Linked DNA regions of Caenorhabditis elegans. Changing the gene in region 1 together with any one later gene gives a genetic interaction. Each region holds a gene or a part of one and is shown on either strand. Other genes may lie near its edges.

Region 1 (5,011 bases):
TGCTATGTAGACACCATGGTGCATCAATTGAAAAAAAAAACTGAAAATTGGGAAAAATTGAATTTTCATATAAAAAAGAATTAAAAAAAAACATATCCTGGCTTCGCAGTGTTACGCTATTCGAAATTTTGTGTGCAGTTTTTTCTGAAATTTTCTTTTCAGTATTTCATCTATGATTTTTTTTAGAAAAATGATTTTTCAAAACTTTTCTTTCATCTCGTGGCAAGACCTATCCGAATGAATTCGTGCGCCTTTTTAAAACCTTGCAAAAAATTCAAAAACTTTAGAATCTCCGTAACAATAAAGCAAAAGAAACTTTACATTCATTAGCTAATTGTATCTAACCGTCTGCGCCTCATGTTCGCTTGAAGTCATACACTATTTCAAAGTGTACTTCAACTACAACCACCAGTACTACTATTACAAGATATTCGCCCTTTTTTCTTTTTTTTTCTTTCTTCTCCATGTGTTTCCACATCCAATTTGATTGATGGTCTTTCCCGTTTTCTCCTTCATTTTTTCGGAATGGAGCTCCTTTTTTTATTCGATTGTTCTCGGGATATATGCAATATTAGAGTTTTTCTTTGTTTTTTACGTTTCCATGTAGTATGCTTTAATCCTTTCGCATTTTTCTGAAAATATTGCTTAAAGGCGCACGTAATTTTCCGGATGGGTCTCGCCGCAAAAAAAACAATGGGTAATAAATATCACTTATTGAAGCACTTTTGGAGCACATCCATATTTTAAAAATCAATGTATGTTGTGTTATTATCACAATTTTAAGTTTAATTAATTAAAGAAAAAAATTGAATCTACCAAAAACTTTATTCGCCGCGAGACCCATCTGGCTAAATCCGTGCGCCTTCGACTACAGTTTTCAGAAAATTGAGAAGTTACGATATTGTTTAATGAACCATGCGGCGATAAATTCTTTTCGAAATTTTTTTTCAACTTCCCGTCTTTCTAGTTTAATTCGAATTCAGAATAGTATCAGTCTAGTTAATGGTTTTTGCGGGTTTTTTATTTGAAAGCATTTTAGAAAATTTTATGGTAGCGCTTTCCGATTTTTATATTTTTTATTTATTTTCATGATTATCATTCGAAATGCTGAGAATACTAAATAGCAGAAATTGCAAGAAAATTTTCAAAGAAAAATCTAAATTTGTACCATACACGTTTGTTTCTCGTGGCGAGACCCAGTCGGAGAATTGCGTGCGCCTTTAAAAACATAAAATACGATACTTTTTCGATACATTTTTTTAACAGAAAAATGTGAATCGTCAATATATTTACATTCCGCAGTATTTCGCTGTAAATGCCTTAAATATTTTCTATTTTTTTTTAATTTCTATTTTCGAAAAATACTGAATTCTCCTATTGCAACAAACTTCCATATTTAGTAAGTTTTCAACACTACATAAATGTGTATTGGAAATGAATTGAAAAATAAAGGGAAGCACGCACAAACACGAATTTGTCGAAATAAATGAATTTTTGCCCGGTTCATTGCACGCAATTCTAAACATGCAGAGAGTGGAAGTGAGAGTGACCAAAAGTTTTTTTTGTTCAATGTTCCTGGGTCTCCTCTCTTTGCATGTAGAAATGTATATCCAATATCTTTTTTTGAACATCTTTTTTCCAAAGAAATGTTTCATTGATTTTTGTTGAAACTCAAATTTTTTAATTTTTTTGAAATTGATTTTTCAGTGAAAAATTGCTCCATTTTCTTAATTATTTATTAGTTTTCAAAAAAACTAGCAATTTCAGAAGTATCAAACACTGTACTCCTTAAAGGCGCATAGCATAAACTTTAAAATACGTGAAATCGTTTCGAGAACTGGCGGGTACGGTATTTGCTATTTTAAACTGTTTTTTCTTCATTTTCTGAACACGTGTCAACACATCCTCCCACGCCTTTCAATTCTGTTATTTTTCCGTTTAAATTGTGTAAAATTGACTGTAAATTCTAAAAATTGCAGGCAAAACAAACGTCAACCGGGGGTAGAAACAACGAAAAAAGAAAAATATTCGAAGAATGCGAGAGGAGCCGACGGCGGGTACCGCTGATGCGACGCTCAATAAACTGCTTCAAGCAGCCGATTTATCAGGGTAAGAGCTGGAAAATTAAGATTATTTGCTGAAAAATGGGGTTTTCAGAAGAAAAATTAACAATTTCTGCGTAAAAACCGAGATTCAAGTAATTAAAAAATAAAATTTTCAGCTACGAATCAGATCTCCGTCGAAAACTAAAACTACGAAATGCTGCCGATTTACAATATGTCGAAGAAGTCGATTTGTTGTCTGTTGGTGAGGATTTTTTTTTTAATCTCAATGAATAATTATTTTAAAAATACCGAAAAAATCACAGTTTTGTTAGTTTTCCACTCAAAAATAGAACAATAATCTCTGAAAAAAAACCAGAATAACTTCTTTAAAATTCTAAAAATAATATTCGACAAAAAATAATTAAATTTGTTTTGTTTTTTTTTTCTACTTTCTGCCTCTAAATACCATCAATATTTACACAACGATTCAATCGAAACAAGTGTTTATTTTTCTCATTTTTCAATCGTATGACTGCTCATTTTGTGGCCATTTATTTTAGTTTTCTTTTTTTTAATTTGAGATTTTTTAAAATTAGTTTATTTTTCTCTGAAATTAAATTAAAAATTGATCGGAAATTAAGAATTATATTTCAGAAAAAAATCCGAAAAATAAACTTACATTTTTCAGGAATGAGCCGCCCGGAGCAAAAGCGCCTCCGAAAAGAATATACAAAAATGTTTCCGTCTGGAATTTTTGGAAAAGTGAAAAAAGCATTCAAAAGGGCGGAAAGTTTGGATCGAAAAACTTCGAATTCAGTTGCAAATCAAGATGATAATGATCATCATGTAATTCCAATTGAAAAGTGAGCATTTCTGGGAAAAACGTGGAGCAAAATGGAAAATTAAAAAAAATTTTTTTAAAAACTCCAGAAAAAAAGATGTTTTGGCAAAAGATCATTTTTTCAGAATGAAAAATTTGAAAAAATCGAAAGAAAATTAATTTTAAAAGTATGGTATTTTCAGAAAAAAAAACAAAAGAAATAATTTTTTTTTTTCGAAGATTAAAAAATAAAAAATTTTTAGCAAATTTTATTCCTCTTCGCAAGAATAACCACCACATAAAAATATAAGTTATCTACAAAAAAGTGAAGAAAAATATCTAAAATTTAAAAAATCTGATTTTCGTTATTGAAAATCAGAAAAATCGGAAATTTCCAAGCAAATTTGCATTTTATTTATTTTTAGGTTTTAAATTTTAATTCAAGTTTCCTAGAAAACAAACTATTTATTTAAAAATTCCTTGTTTTCAGAAAAAAGTACAGAGGTTTCGACTTTCCGAGATTTTGCAAAATCGAAGAAAACTGTGTTTGCAAATTTGACATTACATCATATTATTTTTTCAACATTGAAAAATCTCTTTTAAAATTGCTCGATTTAATTTTTCGAGAAAATTAATTGAAAACTAAAGTTACAATTTTCCAGAATAACGCTTTGCAAAGAGTTGGGACAAGGAGAATTCGGGTCAGTTTGGCAAGCAGGATGGAAGAATTCAGCAGGAAGTGACGTCATTCAAGTAGCCGTAAAATGTGTTGGATCTGATAAACTACTTGCCACGTCATCATCATTTTTACAAGAAGCTGCAATTATGACACGAATGAGACATGAACATGTTGTTAGACTATATGGAGTTGTTCTTGATACGAAAAAAATTATGTTGGTAAGGATTTAAAAATTAAAATCTAAGCCGGAACAAATCTGGTAATATTAGAATTTTTTGTATATTCAAATTTTTTGTCATAAAACCGAAAAAAAATTTCAAAAAACAATGGAAAAAATATCGTAAAATAGAGTTTTAATGCAATTTTCGATTTTGCTAGAAAAACCCAGAATAAATATTAGATTCTCGTATGCCTAAACGAAGACAAACAAAGACCATTTTTACAGAAAAAAAAAATACCGAAAATTATTTTAAAAATTGAAATTTTTTATGCGACTTTTGAAATTAAAATTAGTATTTAAAAATTGTTTTTAATAAGAAATCTCTATAGAACCCTAGAGCTTGATTTTTTGCATTTTTCATCAAAAAAAGGAAAAAAAAACGGAAAAAATGGTCCAGAACGATGTATTCTAGCCTGAAACTGTCAAACTCACAGCAAAAATTGCGCACTTCTCCTCCTCGTGAGAAAGTTTTAATGATAAAAAATCATAAATTTTCGAAAAAAATTGAACATTTCAGAATTATCTAAAAGTTCAAAAATTATAACAAAAAATTTGCAGGTCTCGGAGCTCGCAACATGTGGATCTTTGCTGGAATGCCTTCACAAACCGGCTCTCCGTGATAGTTTTCCAGTTCATGTTTTATGTGATTATGCTGAACAAATTGCAATGGGAATGTCATATCTTGAATTACAAAGACTCATTCATCGAGATCTTGCCGCAAGAAATGTGCTCGTTTTCTCACCGAAACTTGTGAAAATATCAGATTTTGGACTATCGAGATCTCTTGGAATTGGTGAAGATTATTATCGAAGTGAATTTACACCGAATCTTAAGCTTCCTATTGCTTGGTGTGCACCGGAGTGTATTAATTTTTTAAAGGTATTGCAAAAAAACATTTGCTGAAATTTACCAAATTTTAATTTTTCCCCAATTTTGAACAATTATTCAATTTTCAGACCCCTTTTTGTTCGAAAATTTCACAAAATTTCGGCCTAAACTCCGATAATTCGCAAAAATAAATATTAAAAACGAAGAAACAAAAAATTCCAATAAAATTTTCTTTTTTTATTTCAAATATTACATTTCAAACAAAATTTTAAAAAAATGTATTTTTGAAAAGTTTTATTTTAAAAAAATATTTAAAATTGAAATGTTATAAGAATTTTTAAATTCATACAAAAACCGTTTTTATAATATTTCTAAAAATCTATAAAACATAATTCTTTAACATTTTTAAATTAATTTTT
Region 2 (4,365 bases), on another chromosome or scaffold:
AGATCCCCTTTTTGGAGATCCCCTTTTCGTTCTGCTCCCCTTTTCGTGGGGCCTCAATTAACACACTCCGCCTCCAAAAAGTTGGTTAGGTATATACAAGGTAAAAGTTTAAAATTTTTAAAAAATCAATTTCGGCTTAAAAATGATTTGAAAAAAACAACGGAATACATTGCAAAAAAGACGAAAAAAATAAAAGGCAGGTTTTTTTGTAATGTATTCCGTTGTTTTTTTCAAATCATTTTTAAGCCGAAATTGATTTTTTAAAAATTTTAAACATGATCTCGACGTAAAAATCATTGAAAATAACCGAAAACAGCAAAAAAAAAAAACAAAAAACCGGAAAATTAATTGAAAACGTTTGAATGTACGATTTTTTCACCAAAAACCTAACGAGACCTAACGTTTTGAGGCGGAGCCCGCGTGCCCATGGAGCGCACTTGTGCTTCGATTTCAAAAGGCGCGTTTTTTCCTATAATTTACATATTACACACATGTGGTAAAAAAGAAAATAATAAATAAATTGGATAAATAAACCACTGTTTAAATTTTCGAGCATAAGCTTAAAATGCATATAATTTATCAATTAAAATTTGGTTTGGAGTGGAGAGAAAAATAATTATATAATTAGTGAAGAATTGAGATAAAACGTAATTAGATTCGATAAAAAGAGAATTTTTGAAAATGTTGTTGAGATCCCAGTTTACAGGTCGGCAGAGGGAGAAGGAAGAGAGAAAAAATCGATATTATACGGAAAGAGATATAATTTATTAATTGTTGCGGATTCCGAGACTTTGCTCCAGCTCGGCTCGTTTTTGTTGGATTTTCTGATACATGTACCTGGAAAATACAGAATTTTGGATATAAAAATGATAAATTATTAGTCATTTGTGAATTTTTTTGATATTTTTTTCGCCAAAAATACGGAGAAATTTAGAAAAATTGTGCAGCCTTAAGGAGTACTGTAACTGCAATTCATCGTTTTGGAATTTTTCCTCGGTTCTTTAAAAAATTTTTTATTTATTTTAAAACTATAAACAAATGTTGACAAATCGCTGAAAATTCCGCAAAAACGAGGAAATTTTCGGCAATTTTAAACATTTTTAGGTTTCTATTGTTAAATTTGAGTTTTTTCTATAAATAAATATATTTTCAATTAGCTTATGAACATACCGTGATACACCTTCATCTGTATCAGTTGTACTGTACGTTGTCGCATAACGATCGGATTCTCCATCACCACTTGATTCTGTTAAAGTCTTCAAGTCAGAATTCTGGCTTACAACCCATTTCTTGATGAATCCACTGGGCTCGTTCGAGAAACGAAGGAAGAAATCACGACGCAGCTTCATCTCGTTTATTTGATCTACCAAGTCGAATATTTTTTGATCAAGTAGTTGAATGTCGTTCGCATTTGTTTGATTGTGAACGAAATTTGCCATTTGTTGTTTGACTGGATCCTCGAGCTCGACATCTGAAGAAAAAATGAGAAAGAGATTTTTACAGGAAAAATTGAAAAACTAAAACATTTTCAAACTTCCGGTCTTAAAAAATCTAGAATTAATTTATAAAGTTCTTACCAATATCATAACAAGCAGAAGTTTTATCTTGACCATCATCAGGCCGCTGAATAATATGATTCAAGACTAAAGGATCAGGCTGTTGCAAGAGTTGATGAAGTCTTTGAGGAATCTCCATAAATCTCATCTTGCTCACACCAAAACATTGCTCCAAGAAAAGATCATTATTGATTGTATCACGATCCTGTGGATCTTGAAGCTTGTGAGTTTTGATGTACTGCCACAGGGCTTCAATAATTCTCGGACGAGTTTCTGCAGCAATTCCGAGAACTTTTGCAAGTCTCGGATGAAGTTTAAACTTCATTGGCTGATAATCGAGTAGAAGAAGGATTGTGCATTTAACGGGACGATCTCCGGGGCGCTTCACTTGAAATCCGTCAGTTTCATTGGTTTGTGGAGTACGGTGCCACTCAACGAGATGGTTGTCTGGGCCATATATATCTTTATCCAGCTCAATAACTAGGCTTTTGAAAAATGAACTGAATTTCCGTTTTGGAGCTGGACGGGGATTTGCTCCAACTGTGGGATGTTGCTGTAACAGAAAAAACCAATTAATTTTAATGTGTTAACTCAATATGTCCTACCATATCATCTAAAAGTCGTCCTTCAACACGTAATTCCCACATAGGAACAGATGCATCGTCGCCTTCCTTCTCTGGTTCTTTTCCAGCTATAAATGTGTGTGATATGTATATACGAAGACGTTTCTTGATTTTTTGGGGTCTTTTCAGAGCTTCTTGAACATCAATCTTCTTTCTTGTAATTGTTGAATCAAGCTTCTGCTCAAATGCTAACAAGTCCATATAGGCTTGTGATTCGGGAACCAGTTCGCGAACCTGAAATTATTTTATTATTTTTTTAAAGGAAAATTCGAAAGTTTTCAAGTATATTTACCTTTGGTTGAATTAATTTATCGGCATATCGCTTTTTCTTTTTCGGAGGCTGTGGGCCCCGGTTTCCCTGTATTTGAGCGGTTTGTCCAGGCAACGGCGCGTTAATCGGCCGACGTACTTGCTGTGGTGTTGCCTGTAAATCAAAAAGGTATTTTTAAAAGAAAAACGATTTAAAAGTTTACCGGATGGTTGAATCTTGGCCCCTGCGGAACTGGTGGCCGCGCTTGAGTTTGCATTCCTGAAAAATATGAAGATTTTTTCAAAACAAATAGCCAGAAAGATAAAAATAATAAGTTATTTGTCTTAAAACATGTTTAAACACAAGAAAAATGAAGCGAGAAATTATTCAAAAATGAGAGAAAGTCGATACGAATACGGTACTATTTTAAAGGCGCATGCAGCTTTTGTTGAAATCGTGACGAGACCCGCACCGCATCGGGACAACTTACCCTTTAATGTGTGTTTCTATTCTTTTTTTTCTTTTTTTCAAATTTAATTCGAGTTGTTTTCCTTTTTAGAATCAATATTTTTCTTAATAATAATTAATTAATTTTAAAATAATGAATTTCTCTATTCTTGAAGTGAAAAATAATTAATTATTAAGGATACGACAACATTTAATAGTATTTTTTCTCAATTTAAAGGGAAAAAAAAATTAAAAATCCTAATAATTGTTAGATGTGCAGCCAGAAAGAGCTAGAGGAGCACACGGAGCGGTGTGAGTGTTCATTATCGATTTTCTCTGCCCTGCAAGGCCGCAATGTTCGTTTTCTAGGCCAGCATTTATTTAACGTTTCCAAATGTCTGACGATTTCGTAAATTAATGTCAATTATCCAAGTATAAATGAAATAATTTTTAAATAATTCCAGATGAGCACACTATCGGTCTTAATCGAAACATCATCTTGCTCATGGGGAATGCTAGCAAGTGCACACGGTGATCGAACAATTGGAATTATTCTACGAGCAATCGTATGTTTGATTTGATTCCGCTAAAAGATTTCATCAAAAATTTTATTTTTAGGTATCATTCTGCAATGCTCATCTAGGACAATCTGCAAATAATCAGCTTCTAGTTTTTGCATACGGACGAAATGTGGATAACAAAATGATATATTCTTCTACAAGATGTGAAGATCGGAATGCTTCGTTTCTTGTTGTGAAGCGTTTGCGGGAACTATTGAGTAGTGATGCATTAACTAATGATGCAACTATTGGAGCACCTCTAGGACCTGCCTTGGCTCATGCTTTTTGCCGTGAGTTGGAGGAACTTCCAATTAACAAAAAAATATATAAAAACGGAAGCTATATTTCGACATTTCAGATATGAAAAAAGACAGCCGAGTAGTAACTGCTGATCCATGTGATGATTCTCTTGGACCTCAGACTACATCAGAACAATCGGAAACCGCATCTGAAAAGGCTACGAATAGAGCAGTAGTGATATCAATTACTCCTATCATGGGAAGCGAACACGGATCGTTAATGAATTTGTTCTTCTCTGCTGCAAAACAGTCAATCTGCGTTGATGTTGTATCGATGGGAGATGATTTTACTGGTGGAATCCTTCAACAGGCAGCAGATATTACTGGCGGATCTTTTCTACATGCCAAAAAACCACAGACTTTATTGAAAATTTTAATGGTAAGTTTCACAGATTTTTGATCTTCATATTAATTATTTGATTCCAGACTAATATGCTAACCGATCCAACTCACCGTGCAGTATTCTCGAAGCTTTCTCATAATGTAAGCCAAAACCAACGACTGGAACCAACTCATAGTTTATAATTTTCAGTCAGTCGATTATCGAGCATCCTGTGCGTGTCATCATCAGCTTGTATCCTCCGGTTGGGTGTGCTCCATCTGTCTTTCAGTCCTCTGCCAATATACTCC
Region 3 (4,539 bases), on another chromosome or scaffold:
CAAGTACTCTATCCCACATGCAGCGTGATAAGTGTACATGATCCTTGTCTTTGTGCTCAACTTGGCTCCCTTTTCCACTAGTTTATCCTCTACCGATCCACCGTTACAAAGCTCCAGAACCAGCAAGTATGGAATATCATCAACAATGTATCCATAGAACTTTACAATATTTGGATGGTCATAGAGTTGCATAACTCTCGCTTCCTTCATCATCTCGGCTAATGATTCTTCGTCGTTTCCTTCAGTGTCAAGTTTTTTTACAGCAATTTTGGTATTGTTCTTGGTGAGACGGCCAAGATAGACGGTTCCGTAGGCTCCACTACCAAGCTGAAAATTAAGGTTTTCAGGTATTGAAGCCTCTTTCATTAATAATTAATACCTTCTTTTTAAAGTCCACATCTTTATGCATTAATTGGAACTTTCCCTTGGGAATCGCACGTTTCAAGATCACCCGTTCTCCTTTGATTTCCATAGTTTCTTTTTGCATTGAGTCAACCAGCTTCCCAATATTAGGAGCTGATTTTCCCTGAAAACAATATTAAATTTGTTAGTTAGAAGTACGGTGCATGCATACCCCAATCTTTGCAGAAGTCGGATTCCGTTTGATTTCGAAACGACGTATTCCTTTTTTCAAACGAACAGCCAAGTAGAGTTGCTGAAATAAATTCACTTTTGAAGATTATTTAAACTAAATTGGCAAACCATTTTGTTCAATTCCTGATTCATTTTTACAACAATCATGTAGTCACCGTCATTCTGAAAAAAATTAAAATCGTTTATGTTGAAAAATCCAACGTTCTTCAAATTTGAAACCAATTCCATCTGGAAATCCATCTAGACAGTTATTGTGTTCACCAGGACCCTTGTAAGATCGCTGTAGACGCTCATCACGTTACGTTTGTGTTGAGCGCGTGCTCGCGATAGGTCCATTGTGGTCACTGATTGAGTCAATATGTGTACAGTGGATACGAAATGACATAAGATCCACGGATAAAGCGCCCTCTAAATTGTCACTTACAACTAGAAGCTGATCAGCATCCTGGTTCATGAGTGCACCATGATAATACGGTAGGTTAATGTCCTCTTCAAGAATCCTGAATTCATGAAGATTTTAACAACAACCGCATTTAAATTCAACTCACTTTTCTTTGTTAGCCATTTCCGCGTTGGATAAAAACTAAGAACTGAACTTGGAGCGAAGTTCAAAACCTTTTTATTGAAAGGTGGAGGGGGGAGGGAATGAGTTCACGTTGTCATCATTTTATTAAAATTAAAATCAATTTTTCAAACAAAGAATTCTTTTTTTCCTATTTATTAGTATTGCCTGCAAGTCTAATTTTCAATTGGTCAGTGCATGAAAAATTTTTTATGTATCATTTTGTATCCAAGACTGCTTGTTTTTACCTACAAAAACTGCAATTTTGCCTAGAAATAAACCAGAATACTGCATAATAATAGCCAACATGACTTTTAAAAAGGCTTAAATTTGTGTGGTGTAAGCAGATAAACGGCAGTTTATTTGCAGTTAAATGGCAGATGGCACACCTCTGGTGCTATATATTTGTCCCCCCAACTAACTGCTGGCGGTCTGCCAACTTTCTGCCAATTAAAAATAGCCGTTCTATCTGTGTATCCATTGCTCCAGGTGGCCAAAGTTTTCTATTATTTCTCTAGAATTGAGTTTTTTATGCCATTTTTTTGAGGTCAAACAATCTTTTATAATTTAGAGAATATGTCTTCGAAGAGAAACATTAATTGATTTGTTTGATTGATTTCTTGCCGTTTCGTTGAAATTGTTAACCAAAATAAAGCGAACAGTGTTCGTGTGTTCGTTTTACAGGTTAAACTTATCACATGAAAAACCACTAGGATCTGTCAAAGAGACAAGTGATATATAAAAAATGCGCGGCATTTTTCAATGACTTCCCCAATCCCTTTGATAATAAACCTGTTCTTTCAGAGAGACGCAGAAGAAGAACACCGTCGGTTATTGATTATTTTTCACTGATTAGTCACGTCTTCACATTTTTCTAGAATTTATAGTTTTGAATCCTATCTATTCAAATATTATTTTCAAATGGACAATTATGAAAAAGTGCGTGTCGTCGGACGTGGTGCTTTTGGAGTTTGTTGGCTGTGTCGCGGTAAAAATGATGCATCACATCAAAAGGTTAGTCAGACAATTGTAATAGTTTCGTTGGACTCTTTTACATTTGAAGCCTGGTATGGTTTAATTTAGGGAAAATAATCAATTTTTAGAAATACTTATTTTATTGGAAAATCAGTTTTTTTTTCAAATAGCAGTACTGTGTTATAATCTACTAACTTTATAATTTAATTTTTCAGGTAATTATAAAACTCATCAATACTCACGGAATGACTGAAAAAGAGGAAAATAGCATTCAGAGTGAAGTAAATTTGTTGAAAAAAGTTCAACATCCATTAATAATCGGGTATATTGATTCTTTTATTATGGATAATCAACTTGGAATTGGTAAGTAAATTTAATTTTAAAATTGAATTAAAATTCGATATGTTCAGTTATGCAGTACGCGGAAGGAGGAACATTAGAGAGATTAATAAATGATCAGAGAGCGATTAAAGATTCAAACATGAGAGAATATTTTCCCGAAAAAACTGTTTTAGATTATTTTACACAGGTTAGTTATCATCTTAACTTTTTACTGAAACAAATATTTTTGAAGATTCTTATTGCACTCAATCATATGCACCAGAAAAATATCGTTCATCGTGACCTTAAGCCTCAAAACATTCTTATGAATCGCCGAAAGACTGTTCTGAAGCTATCGGATTTTGGAATTTCAAAGGAGCTTGGAACGAAATCTGCAGCGTCGACTGTTATTGGAACTCCAAACTATTTAAGCCCTGAAATTTGTGAAAGTATGTCAATTTCATTTTAATAATCATGAAAATATAATATTCAGGTCGCCCGTACAATCAAAAAAGTGACATGTGGTCTTTAGGATGTGTTTTGTATGAGCTTCTTCAGCTTGAAAGAGCATTTGACGGCGAAAATTTACCAGCCATTGTAATGAAAATCACCCGGGTATGTACCAAAAAAGGATAGGTCCCAAAACCCTTGCATTGTTCCCTGATGTTAAATTTTTAAATTTAATCATGTATCACTCAATTTCCAGTCAAAGCAAAACCCGTTGGGAGATCACGTATCAAACGATGTGAAGATGTTAGTGGAAAACTTACTTAAAACACACACGGATAAGAGACCGGACGTATCACGTAAAAAAAATTTCCACACTTGGAAATGTAATCGATTAATTTTCAGAGCTGCTTTCCGATCCACTTGTTCTTCCCTATTTGATATCAATTCATTGCGATTTGGGAAGAATCGAACCTCCACCGACGGATAAGGTAATTTTTAATTGTATTAGTGTTTTGATTTAGAGAAAAATGTCATGTTTACTATCTGGCCTTAACAGGGAATCATAATTCAGTTTTAAAGAAACCATCGACGTCATGCTAGTAAAAATAAATTCCTAGCGAGTTCTGTAGGTCAAACAGCGGAAAATATAAAAGCATGCTTTTGTTCTAATCTTCTTAATTAAATACCAGATAAATTACATTCTGAAATAGTGCTGGAAAACCAAAAAATTATTGAAAAACCTCTGTAACACATCAAAAATGATCACTTGATCGCACAGAATCCGGATTTTTTTCAGCCGTACTTTGAAATGATGTTCATTACTTGTCATGAATTTTATTTTTTTCAGAGAAAGCCATCAGCTTCATTGAGCAGTCGACTTCGAACGTATCCAACACAATCAACACTTCGTCCGTATTCTTTATCATCAAATGCTCCAACTACCCATTTGACACAATTAACACCAATGCCATCTCATATTGATTCTGGATTCTTTTCAAGTGGAAGAACATCAAATCAGAGAACACAATCAAGAAGTCAAGTGCATTCAAAGTATTAACTCCTGTATTAATTGTTTGTTTCTTTAAAATTAAAATTGAAGTTATTTTTTCACATAAAAACCAATCATTCGGAAGTGGGCAAAATATCACAAATGTTACTGTACGGGAAATGAGAAAGTGGACAAAACAAAGTATGCTAGGTATGATCTTTGTACAAAAGATTACGGTAGGTGAGAACAATGTTGTGGCCGAGATTTGTAAATGAGTTTGGTCGAGCAGGTGGTTGTTCACGTTGAGGATCCAGTTCAGCATTCGGAGATCGGGTTCGGGCTCGTCTTTCTGAGGCGCGCGCATTCCTCTGTTTGAAACTGAAATATTTGGATTTTAATTCATATGTAGTGCAAGTTTTTTGCCCTAAACCTACGGTACATGTATGTTTTATTCAAGTTGACAGGCAATTGCCTTTTTAAGGTCCCTATGAGAAATGGATAACCATGGTATTATTGTAGCAAAAACCGTAACAACAAGGAGTTGAGAGTTACAGTACTCCTCAAAGCCACCCACTCGGCAAAACGGCCTAACTTCATAGCATACTCTTGCAACTTCTTAACAACAATTAGGCATTTTAGCTTTTAGGCA
Region 4 (2,744 bases), on another chromosome or scaffold:
GGTGCTCCGCGTGAACGATAATGGTCACGATCTCCACGATCTCCACGTTCACCTCGATCTCCACGCCTTGTTGGTGCTCCACCCGCAGGAAAAACCTCGATGTATCTGCAAACAGTTAATTCGTTAAAAGAAATATTTGAAAGTCAAACCTGCTTCCCAAGTGCTCTCGGTCTTTTTTCAAAGCATTGTTGTAGTCTTCTTCATTGGTAAAAACCACTTTCGCATCACCGCTGGTTCGACCGTTTCTCCTTGGAATTTCCAAGCTTTCGATTCCATTATCTTGAAGAAGATTTTTTTATAACGATTTAAAACACCACTCACTTCCGAAAAAATCTCTTAGCTCCTGTTCAGTGGCCTCCCATGGTAATCCACGACATTGAACTTCATACGCAGTAGACATTTCTGAAAGACAAAAACGGATTTTTCTGATTCTGTTCTTTTTTATCCGTCGAGATCAAATATACGTTTTTGTGGCAAAAATTACAAAAAACTAATACAATTTTCACATAAAAACCGAAAGAAAACAAAGTAACAAAACAAAAAATATTTTTCGATTTAAACTCTCGGCCGTGCATTTGCGCGTAGCGTCCGTTGCAGTGGTCGCAAACACCGATTGTTTACCGTACTACGAACAATAAATGATGCATTTTAATATTAATTTTTCTTTTGTTTCGAGGCTCTATGTACCACCGTTTTCTTATTCTTTTACAATGTATTTTTGAACAAAATTTTCACTTATTTTCTCATCTTCCATTAAATGCAAACAGTGAGTTTATTTGGTCTGAAAATGCTTTGCATCTCCAACGAGTAAGAAAAGCTGTTCTCTGTCTAGCAGCATCTTACAATTGTAAAACTGATGGTTGGCTATTTAAATGAAGTTTTAATTTTTTGGGCGATGAAAGTCTCATTTTGTTTTAGAACTGCAGGATATATTCACGGTTTTTCAAAGATCTGTCAATTGACTTGTCGATAACGAAAAAAATCTAAAATGCTGGCTTAATAATTTAATTTCTCACAGTGAACTTTAATATACATAAATCTTTTTCCGAATATAGTGCCATGATTTTCTGTCTGTCCTTTGTATATAAGCTCCACACTTTGAAAATATAACACCAATTAATGTCTTCATTCCCCTCCATTTCCGTCATCTTCCATATATTCTCACTTCAATTTCCATGTCTTCTTCGTCTTCTCAATTTTCCTTCGTAGGGCTTGTGTGTGAGGTTGTCTCGCGTAAATGTATGCGCCAGAGCGAGAGTGTGTGTGCCAATCGAAACAGCAGCAGCAGCACTCTGCCCTCTACAATGTCTCCATTTTCACTACACTCTTTCAAGTATTGATTTTCAAATGCGAAGCACAAAGCGAGGAGGAGCGCAGAGAAAAGACTGGCAGGGTCCCGCTGGTGCTCACTTCTTCTCTCATTTCTGTCTTTGCTCTGCTCTGCTACTCCTTTTATAGTACTCATTTTTTCCAATTCGACTGATATTGTCAATGTATAGTCAGAAACTTCGGTTTTCAATTGAATAAAATCCATGATTCGACTGTTTTTCAGTTAATTCAACCTAATTTAAACCTTTGCTTTTACCAAAAACCTCTTTTTTTCAAGTTAAATAATGTCAGTCGAACTTATTTATAGGCCAATTTTGAATGTTCTTAACAAGTTTAATTTATAACGTACACTTGCAACTACCCGTTTCTCATAACTTTCTGAATACTATTCGTTCTCCATGGTATTCGCAATAATTCGTATAATTTGGCTTTCAAATACTCTTTTTCAAACGATTCTCATTTCCGATTCAATAAAGAAATGTTTCAGACAAGATGGATAAATCTGACATGCAACGAACCGTCGACTCGCTTCGCAGCCAGCTCAATATTGAGCGTACTCCGATCACTGTTTCGGCAGCCGAGTAAGTTAACGAGATCAGAATGCCCAACTTTCAAAATTTTGTTTCTTTCAGACTTCGTCGCTTCACCGAAAGCCAAGAAGATCCACTTGTGAACCCAATCGACAAGAAGGTTAACCCATGGGCTGAGAAGAGCAAGTGCAGCATGCTCTAAATCATTTATTCATCCACCATCGCTTTCAAACCTCACTTTTGTCATCCATAATACTAATCCAAACGCCGATTTTGTCTTTACTATTCGTCCTATTTATATGATCCAATTTTCGCATTCTTCCAATTTTTTGTAAAATGAAAGCAAACTACTGTGAATAAACTATTCAGATATATACAATTGTAAATAATTTATCATTTGTTCAATTAACTTCGATTCAGAGATCTACATAATTACAACTCGTCATGAGAATAATATGGGTGCAGATGATCGGCTTCTTGAGCAGCTTCAGTTTTGGCAAAAAGAGCATGATGCTTCACAATTTCTTCATAAGACAATTGTCCATCTTTATCATCATCTGAATTTGTTAGAAGACTTTCAGCTTCATAAGATCCAGCTGTTGTTCCATCAACGAGAAGCCAATCGGTCAGCTCGTCGCCGGCCAGTTTTCCGTCTTTGTTTTTGTCATAAACTGTACGGAATCTAAAAATGGACACAAATTAGGAAAAAAAAAATTGAACGACTTTTCTCCGAAGCAGAATAGTTTAGAAATATATTATTTTAAAATATATTTTAAATAAATATTGATTCGAAAGTATTTATATATTGAAAAATGAGTTAGCCTATTTATAAAACCGTATTATTTCAAATAATTGTATTTTCTAAAGTTCTAAATTTTCTTAAAC

The links.
Region 2: of ark-1 (region 1) and ham-3, changing one enhances a phenotype caused by changing the other (phenotypic enhancement), as found in Caenorhabditis elegans (one large-scale study listed by BioGRID).
Region 3: of ark-1 (region 1) and nekl-2, changing one enhances a phenotype caused by changing the other (phenotypic enhancement), as found in Caenorhabditis elegans (one large-scale study listed by BioGRID).
Region 4: of ark-1 (region 1) and gpc-2, changing one enhances a phenotype caused by changing the other (phenotypic enhancement), as found in Caenorhabditis elegans (one large-scale study listed by BioGRID).

The regions. Positions count from the first base shown.
Region 1 is NC_003282.8:12,627,991-12,633,001, reverse strand, and holds the start of ark-1 (Ack-related non-receptor tyrosine kinase), read left to right. Parts: upstream 1-1,979; 5' UTR 1,980-2,035; coding exon 2,036-2,109; intron 2,110-2,221; coding exon 2,222-2,307; intron 2,308-2,733; coding exon 2,734-2,908; intron 2,909-3,527; coding exon 3,528-3,762; intron 3,763-4,322; coding exon 4,323-4,643; intron 4,644-5,011. UniProt on the Caenorhabditis elegans protein: Probable tyrosine protein kinase which plays a role in vulva development, probably by acting as a negative regulator of the let-23/EGFR and let-60/ras pathway. Involved in the negative regulation of germline development.
Region 2 is NC_003281.10:10,119,124-10,123,488, reverse strand, and holds ham-3 (SWI/SNF chromatin-remodeling accessory subunit 1), read right to left. Parts: upstream 2,709-4,365; 5' UTR 2,707-2,708; coding exon 2,653-2,706; intron 2,604-2,652; coding exon 2,472-2,603; intron 2,414-2,471; coding exon 2,162-2,413; intron 2,110-2,161; coding exon 1,578-2,109; intron 1,472-1,577; coding exon 1,171-1,471; intron 838-1,170; coding exon 768-837; 3' UTR 564-767; downstream 1-563. Other genes in the region: gtf-2H3 (General transcription factor IIH subunit 3), read left to right, coding at 3,341-3,442, 3,495-3,726, 3,795-4,114, 4,162-4,218, 4,268-4,365. UniProt on the Caenorhabditis elegans protein: Involved in transcriptional activation and repression of select genes by chromatin remodeling (alteration of DNA-nucleosome topology).
Region 3 is NC_003279.8:6,661,129-6,665,667, forward strand, and holds nekl-2 (Serine/threonine-protein kinase nekl-2), read left to right. Parts: upstream 1-2,005; 5' UTR 2,006-2,077; coding exon 2,078-2,170; intron 2,171-2,346; coding exon 2,347-2,494; intron 2,495-2,541; coding exon 2,542-2,660; intron 2,661-2,705; coding exon 2,706-2,901; intron 2,902-2,945; coding exon 2,946-3,067; intron 3,068-3,158; coding exon 3,159-3,258; intron 3,259-3,304; coding exon 3,305-3,390; intron 3,391-3,749; coding exon 3,750-3,959; 3' UTR 3,960-4,032; downstream 4,033-4,539. Other genes in the region: ZC581.7 (Tyrosine-protein kinase), read right to left, coding at 1-327, 380-526, 575-655, 703-756, 1,019-1,094, 1,143-1,159; ZC581.9 (Protein kinase domain-containing protein), read right to left, coding at 4,097-4,268. UniProt on the Caenorhabditis elegans protein: Probable serine/threonine-protein kinase required for the completion of molting. May play a role in endocytosis in the hypodermis syncytium.
Region 4 is NC_003279.8:6,755,947-6,758,690, forward strand, and holds gpc-2 (G protein gamma domain-containing protein), read left to right. Parts: upstream 1-1,816; 5' UTR 1,817-1,821; coding exon 1,822-1,910; intron 1,911-1,961; coding exon 1,962-2,061; 3' UTR 2,062-2,232; downstream 2,233-2,744. Other genes in the region: hrpf-1 (RRM domain-containing protein), read right to left, coding at 1-105, 150-279, 322-400; calu-2 (EF-hand domain-containing protein), read right to left, coding at 2,292-2,541.